Caenorhabditis elegans: one gene and its partner. The protein of the gene in region 1 interacts with the protein of each later gene in a pairwise test. Each region holds a gene or a part of one and is shown in the gene's direction. Other genes may lie near its edges.

Region 1 (3,931 bases):
TATGCCTTCATGTTTGGACCATTAATAGAAAATTGTTTGAAACTGACCTTTTGTGTGGCGAACAATCACATTTAATCGTATATCTCGTAAATCTCTACGCAAACGTGTTTGTTCTCCAATACCACTTGCCAAGAGGCAGTCTTACTTTGCGAAATATGGATGATAAAAGACATCATGATTTTTTCTGATAAGGATGAAAGCGCAATTATCGATTCCTCTCCGCTCCTACGCTCTCTGTGTTCAGCGCAATTGCTCTGACCAGTTTTTTTTTGTTCTATTCTCTATATCTAGAAACATTAAGCATTAATTCAACATATCATGAACCATCAAGATTTGACATAATTTTGATAATTTTCCATCAACTCAGTCGCCGACAAACAAGTTAGAGGCTCCCAACTCTGCACCTTGTGAGATGAGTCATGCAACAACTGGTCCATATCTGATTTAGTGTAACGACCACAATGCCACGATGACTAGGCTTGATTCTGCATTTGTTATTTATGGAATTCAAGACATTTTGAGATTTTTGCATTTGGTGTTCTAGCATTTATCTGACTAATTAAAATCAGAAAATGTTTTCACCTCGTTGTTTTTCAGAATTTGACTTTCCACATTTTCCAGCACCGCTTTTAAATATAAAAAAAAATAGTTTTTATTTATTTGATTGGGTCTCCTCATTTATTAGAAAAAATGTCGAAATTCTTGTTTGCGTCTTCTCAAATACATACAATAGTATTCTCAATGTTATCTCCTAATTTCGAAATCGATGGTTTCTCAATTACGAAATATTAGGAATTTTCCCACTTTCCGCGACACTATTATTTGCCTTTTTTAACCGCAATTCGATTACATTATTAGTGGTAAACAATCTTTTCTCTGAATTTCCAACGTTTTTTTTGTTTTACAAAAGAAACTATATAATAGTTGCTGTCCTCACATGATGATCAATGTTTTTTATCATTATCAATCAGAAAAGTCCCAGCTTTTCTTGACTTTTCCTTCAGAAATTATCATATCACAATTTGTTTGTTTTCTTTTTCTCTCTAACACTCTTACTCTATTCACTCAACAGTTCAATGCCGGAAATTCAAAATAACCAAATCGTTTTGACATAAACTTCAGTTCAAAGTTGACCTATCGCAAAAACAGGTCGAAAACAAAAAAAAATGGGGAACGGACCGCCAATGTTTTGAAACGGAAGGGGGGTGCGCACGCGGTCGCGTCGCGTGCCCGGTGTTTCAACGTAACTCTTGCACTTATTTACGCAGTGTGTCTCACTTGTGTGTGTGTGTGCCGTTCGTTTTTTCTCTCCCTTCCCTCCTCCCTCGCCGCATTGGAATTGCGACGGCGTCAATGCGGTCTTGCCGCTTTTCGAGACATTTTTGCTGCTGTGATGCCATGTTTTCACCATGATGTAATGCAATTTAATCCTCATGGCAAGAATGAAAAGTAGTTCAAAACGTTGCCTTTCTCGTTTTGGCAGCAGCTCTTTCTCATTTGATCCCCTCGTCGTATAAGCTAATACGCTTTTTGTTTTCAGCTGCTATATTCAGCCAACACAAAAGGCAAGAGCCTTTCCATTGACGTAAACGAGGCTTGTTTGCAACAACATCATGCATTCTAATTTCGTACATGAACTTTTCGAAAGTGCATTGAGATGAGAGTAATGATGAGAGCAAAGACATTTTCTTATAACTTCCCCTATTATTTATATGTATAGCCACTCTCATTCTTAGAAATGCTAGTGCACTTCTTTTCGTGCCCCAACAATTTATATTTTCATCCTAGAAATATAAATTCAAAATTTTGATTCTTCCTGATATTTCTTTATCTCTTTTTTTCTCTGTACTAAAAATAATAATTTTAAGGTGAAAAGATGGAGAGAGACTTCGACCTTGGCATGGGCAGACCTGGCGGGCTCGGAGGACTTGGTGGTGAACCGATCATGCAACAAATGCCACAGCCAGCGCCTCATCATCCATCCCGTAGTAGTAACGACCACAATGTGAAGAACCTCATGAAGCAGGCCGAGGAGAACTCCGGATATCTCACATTGCAAGGTAATTTGGCTAAATAAATAATCTTGAAACGGTAACAATTGATTTTTAGGTAACCGTCGTAAAGCTGACTTGAAGGAGCTTCAGTTCGTGGAAGATATTGGTCATGGAAGCTGCGGTACGGTCACAAAGTGCAGATACAAGAGTGTGATCATGGCTGTGAAGACGATGCCTCGGACGTCAAACAGTTATGAAATGTCCCGCATTTTGATGGATCTTGACGTCATCTGTCTCTCTTTCGACTGTCCGTACATTGTACGTTGCTTCGGATACTTCATCACCAACGTAAGAATTTTTATGAATTCTTTGACTTTTCCAATTATCATTTTTTTCAGTTCGACGTCCGTGTCTGCATGGAGTGCATGGCTACTTGCCTTGACCGTCTGCTTATCCGCATCAAGCAGCCAATTCCAGAGAGAATTATTGGAAAGTTGAGTGTGAGCATCATTAAAGCTCTGCACTACTTGAAAACCAAGCACGTAAGTTTATAAATCAGATGAACCATTTGGACAATATATAATCCGATTTTTTTAGCAAATCATGCACCGTGATGTGAAGCCATCAAACATTCTCCTCGACTGGAGTGGCGTCATCAAGCTTTGCGATTTCGGTATTGCTGGCAGACTGATCGAGTCTCGTGCTCATTCGAAGCAAGCCGGATGCCCTCTGTACATGGGTCCTGAGCGCCTCGACCCCAACAACTTTGACTCGTATGACATTCGCAGTGACGTGTGGTCTTTTGGTGTTACTTTGGTCGAGCTGGCAACCGGACAGTACCCATACGCCGGAACCGAATTCGACATGATGTCCAAGATTCTCAATGACGAGCCACCGCGCCTGGATCCGGTATGTGCTCTTCGTAAAAAATTCATCTAGAAAAAGCTTTTAAGAGCTACCAGTAGACATAATATATGCTTTATGGCGGCTAGAAACAGTACACAACTAGTATTTATGTATTTTACAATTTTACAGGCCAAATTCTCTCCGGACTTCTGTCAACTCGTCGAGAGCTGCCTGCAGCGTGATCCAACGATGCGTCCCAATTACGATATGCTCCTCCAGCATCCGTTTGTCGTGCATCACGAGAAAATTGAAACCGACGTCGAGGAGTGGTTTGCCGATGTGATGGGCGAGTGCGGATAATTGTCGAATTACAAACGTATTGTTATTTCCCAAATCATTTGTAAAAACTATCAATCCCATTCACTATCTCTTTCATAACATTTCCTGGTCTAGCATTCATGGTGCAAAGTTTTTCAATTTTGCTTTTTTACCTTATTTACCCTATTTACCACTTTTACCCTATTTTCACTTGTTCTCGTTCCCGTTGTCTCTATCAAAAATTCCCAACCTCTCTCACCGAATCCCTGTCTACCAAACTTGAATGTTCCGGATGTATAGTATCATTGTAGGCCTAATTGATTGTATATTTTGATTATGATATGTCTCAAAGTTAAGCCATCCACAGCTAGTCTTCTCGTCAGAGATTACTGTGGACATTAAAATTGTGATTCAAATTGTTCAACGGATATTGTTGTAATCTTATATATTTAAATACAGTCTATGGACCGTTCGTTTTTTTACAAGTTTTGAACGAAGCGTTACAGAAAGAAGTAATCAAATTCCAGATCTGTAGAAACTAGCGAGTTAACAGGTAATCGGAACTATGGTGTCTTGAACAATATTTGAAAGTATTCGAAATAGTGTACATATTTTGTGAAACTAAATACTATCAAACGATATCCTACTCAACTCTGAAATGTTCATACAGTGTATTAACACCTGCGCGACAACGCTTCACCTCTCTCATTTAAATGAATCCAAATGATTAGTCGCTGGAGATTATTAGGATATGCTACTAACGGAGCTTTTAA
Region 2 (3,931 bases), 6.6 Mb from region 1:
TTTTTCGGTTTAACTTTCTACATTAAAATCTATAACGAATGTATAAAAGATATTCCCTTATACGCAGACCGAATTCCTTTAAAACTCTACTCTCATATCTTGGCCGTGTTCTGTTTTGCACAGAATTTTGTTGTACGGAACATAATTTTTTCATTGTTTCTTTTTTTTGCATTCTCAATATGACTAATTGATCTCACGATGATCCCACAAGCATGTATTTTTCAATTATATATTGCAGGAAACTGAACATAGGTCTCCTTTCACAGGCAGTTTAAAAAATAATGAGCTTAATTAATTTTTATTGAATTATTATTCTAATTTAAAACAAGATACAACTTACTTTGCATGCGGAATACGAATTCTTTCACCATTTTCCTCGAGCAGACTGTAAACGATGAGACTTGCCCGACTGGAGATTTCAAACGACGATGTGTAAAGAGAAACGGTTTTGTTGGGATGTGGAAGTATCTATAGCTAGTTAACATTTATTAACTCCAATCACATTCTCTAATTTACTAACAATGTAGACACATCTTCCATCGCAACTTTGTGAATTCGGGTAGTGAGGTGATTTGATGATTCCATGTTCGATAGTTGCCTCATAAACTTCTTCTTCACAGGTACAATTGCCTTTCTTGATTTCATAGTCCATGTCATCATTTGAACTATCAATTGCATGTGTGATGATTGGAATTAGAAAGACACAAAAAATCCCTGAATACAATTATGTTGGCTATAAACTGTAATCAGCTAAATGTTATCAAAAGAGGCATTCAGATTGTTACTGGTTACAATAATTTCGAACTCACACATTCTTATTCAGCTAATAATTTTGATGATCAGTGAGAAACGGTGAGGACTCGAAATTAACGCAATGCAAAATAAACAGAAGCTGATATTGTTTATCAGAAGACTCATATTCAATTACTTCTCGCAGTGAATCAAATAAACGAAATGCCATCCAATATTGATGGGTGAGGAAATGAAAGAGTTTGAATAAAGTTATTTAAAAAAAAACAATCAGAACAATTTTGTTTATGCAGTTCGTCTGGAACAAAGTTGACAAGATTTATGAACCACTGATTACGTTTAAGTTGTGACAAAATAAATGTGCATGTAGAGCGGGGCTACCAAAAAGGCCACCTATTTATGTCTATGAATTTTCAAAACATACAAAAAATTTCAAATTAATATGTTACCCTCAAATGGTGCTAGAATCAATATTTTCTTCACAGTTTGTCAGTCATTTATTGAGTTTATCGAGATTTCTGGATCGCATAACTCAAATCTTTAAAAATAGTTAGTCTTGTTTGCACTATTTTTGTCTTCTAAAAAAATGTTGACAAACAATTTTTGCAGATTTTTCGACAAACGTAAAAAATTTTATTCAACCAAATTTATGCAAACTTTTATGTATTATGTAGATTTTTTTGTTTTTCTGTAACTAATCAAATTGCCTCGAAGTTTCTTGAATATTTTTAAACAGTTCCCAATTTTCCATAAGCTTTTACATATTCAGAGTTTCCCGCTAAAAATGTTTTCAGGAAAACGGAATTTCTCATTATGGGCTTAGAGCGAAAAAAGGCCGCGGCTAATCAGGTCCCAAAAAATGCTTGGATTGGGTTACTGCTCTCACGACGGGAGGGTCTTACGAGTTTCTGCTTTTGAACGAGTCATCTTTCCTCTCTTTCCTTTGCCATAAAATCGCACATAACGCGCTCTTTCTCTCCGTCTATTACGTCCAGTCTCACTTTACCACCCATCATGCCATTTTGTATCTGTTCGTTTTTCTACCTCCCTTGTTCCTCCATAGCTTCCAGTTAAAAATTCAATAAGTGAACGCAACTTTACAATTTTTTTAATTTTAAATTTTTCACAAAAAATTATACGCATTTTTTTGCAGGGTATGTCCGACCACGAAGACCAATTTCTTGTGTTCGCAGCTGACGACACTAATCGATTAACTGAAGAACACGGACACGGGGAAATGGGCAGGGATAAAGTGAGTTGGTTACAAATTCTTCAAGAACAAACATTACGAAAAAGTGTTGGTTAATGCTTCCTAATTTAACTTCTACAATTTTTTGGATGATATAAATTTTCACAACTTCAAATAATTTTTCGTTGAAAGTTGTTCAGAACTTGTAAATTATTATAGTTTAAGACTAATGAAACCTTTCGAAAAAAAGAGATCCACCGCTGTTTTTTTGAAAATTAGTGCGGTACACCGCTTCAATATAAAATATAGGGTTTATGAAAATGCAAAATTTAATGCGGAGCATCAAAATTCAGAAAAATACCACCATGGTTTTGCAGGCAGGAGTCGACGAAGAATGCCGGCACGAAGAGGATAAGGATGAATCTAACACGGAAAACCTCAAAAACACTGGCGAAAATGCAACAGCATGTAATGGAATAAATCGAAAAAACTATATCGAAAGAAACCGCATTGGAAATAGTGAAATTGAGGAAAAAATAGAAAAGCAAATGTCGGTAGAGAAGAACATTTCCATCGAACAATTTTTTGGAGAGAATCAAAAATCAACTCGGAACAGTGATCAGGTATATATATATATATATATATATATATATATATATATATATATATATATATATATATATAACATAATTCTAGCCAGAACGCCTTTTTCCTTAATATTTCAGCAATATGCGCAACTTGCTTAACTTTTTTATTTTCAGAACGCCAAAAACCATGAAGAAGATCCTGAAAGTGACGACGAAGAAACCGCATACTTGAATCTAATAAGAAGCTTCAAAAAGGAAGAGTCAATGCATGATCTTAAAAATGCATCGGGAAAACTGCCATCCAGCAATTGTGAAGATGAAATATCAATTGATGAATTTCACGATTCAGAAAGCAACGGAAAATGTAGCGAAGAAGAGGATGAAGATGAATCTTATTTGATTCAATTGAAATACTTTGGTGGAAGTGGTAAACCGTTAGAACAAGGACAAGAAAAGCCAACAAGCGCAGAAACCAATGAAGGATTTAACATAGATGAAAAGCCAGATGAAATGAAGAATAATTATGAAACTGATTCAGTTGAAAATGTTCAAAAAGGAGAAACCGAAGAGGAAAAACGAAAGCGATTGTCTGAAGAAGAGCGTTTGTCTGCTGAATTTTTGGCATCTCTTGATCAAAAAACTATTGATGCAGATAGGCTGGTGAGTATATATGTATATGACAAATTATATTTTCTAGCCCAGAAATGAGCTTATAAAATAATCTTCTCACTTAGCAAAAATTTACGAATTAATGTGATGAAAACTGTATAAATTGACTCTTGAAAAAAAAGAAAAAAAGAAAAAAGAGAAGATAAAGTCTTTTTTTCTAATTTCATAATTTCAGAGACATAATCTAAACCATCGAGAAAAAATAAAGGAAGAAGCTGAGCGTCAACAATTGGAACCTGAAATGCAGAAGTCTTATGTGAGTATTTATGCACAATTTTTTTTAAAATTTGGACTTTACTTTAGAACAATGACTATCGGCAAAGCTCAATCAATTCACATCAAGATAAATATGAAAACTCATCGAATGGCATCAACTACACTGATAGAAATCAAGACGTTTACAATAACAAATCATATGGACAGCAGGAATGGTATAAAACATCTTTTTTAGTTGTTAAATTGTTAAAAATATATTTTTTAGGTTGAAAAATACGTCCTCCGATCATTTACCCTATTGTGATCCGTAAGTTAAAATCAGTTTTTACAATAATTTAACATTTTTTTGCAGACGAGACATTCAAAGAGCATCAAGTCAAAATGTCTATCATGAAGGGATTAATTCGCATGTAAGCAGGTGAGTGTTTAAACTGTTATACGAAAAAAAACAATGTACAAGAGCATCCATATAGGTATAAATATTGAATGATCAAGTATTTTCATAATATAAGATGTAATT

The links.
Region 2: the proteins of mek-1 (region 1) and C33G3.6 interact in a two-hybrid assay, tested with the Caenorhabditis elegans proteins (one large-scale study listed by BioGRID).

Annotation. Positions count from the first base shown.
Region 1 is NC_003284.9:7,477,380-7,481,310, forward strand, and holds mek-1 (Dual specificity mitogen-activated protein kinase kinase mek-1), read left to right. Parts: upstream 1-1,868; 5' UTR 1,869-1,876; coding exon 1,877-2,060; intron 2,061-2,109; coding exon 2,110-2,342; intron 2,343-2,392; coding exon 2,393-2,536; intron 2,537-2,591; coding exon 2,592-2,903; exon of another isoform or gene 2,904-3,029; coding exon 3,030-3,200; 3' UTR 3,201-3,626; downstream 3,627-3,931. UniProt on the Caenorhabditis elegans protein: Dual specificity protein kinase which may phosphorylate kgb-1 and thereby is an essential component of the JNK pathway composed of mlk-1, mek-1 and kgb-1. May also have a synergistic role with sek-1 in phosphorylating pmk-1.
Region 2 is NC_003284.9:14,082,291-14,086,221, reverse strand, and holds the start of C33G3.6 (Non-specific serine/threonine protein kinase), read left to right. Parts: upstream 1-1,903; 5' UTR 1,904-1,906; coding exon 1,907-2,002; intron 2,003-2,316; coding exon 2,317-2,562; exon of another isoform or gene 2,563-2,628; intron 2,629-2,700; coding exon 2,701-3,186; intron 3,187-3,370; coding exon 3,371-3,451; intron 3,452-3,498; coding exon 3,499-3,626; intron 3,627-3,676; coding exon 3,677-3,718; intron 3,719-3,763; coding exon 3,764-3,829; intron 3,830-3,931. Other genes in the region: F16B12.1 (CUB domain-containing protein), read right to left, coding at 341-468, 521-652.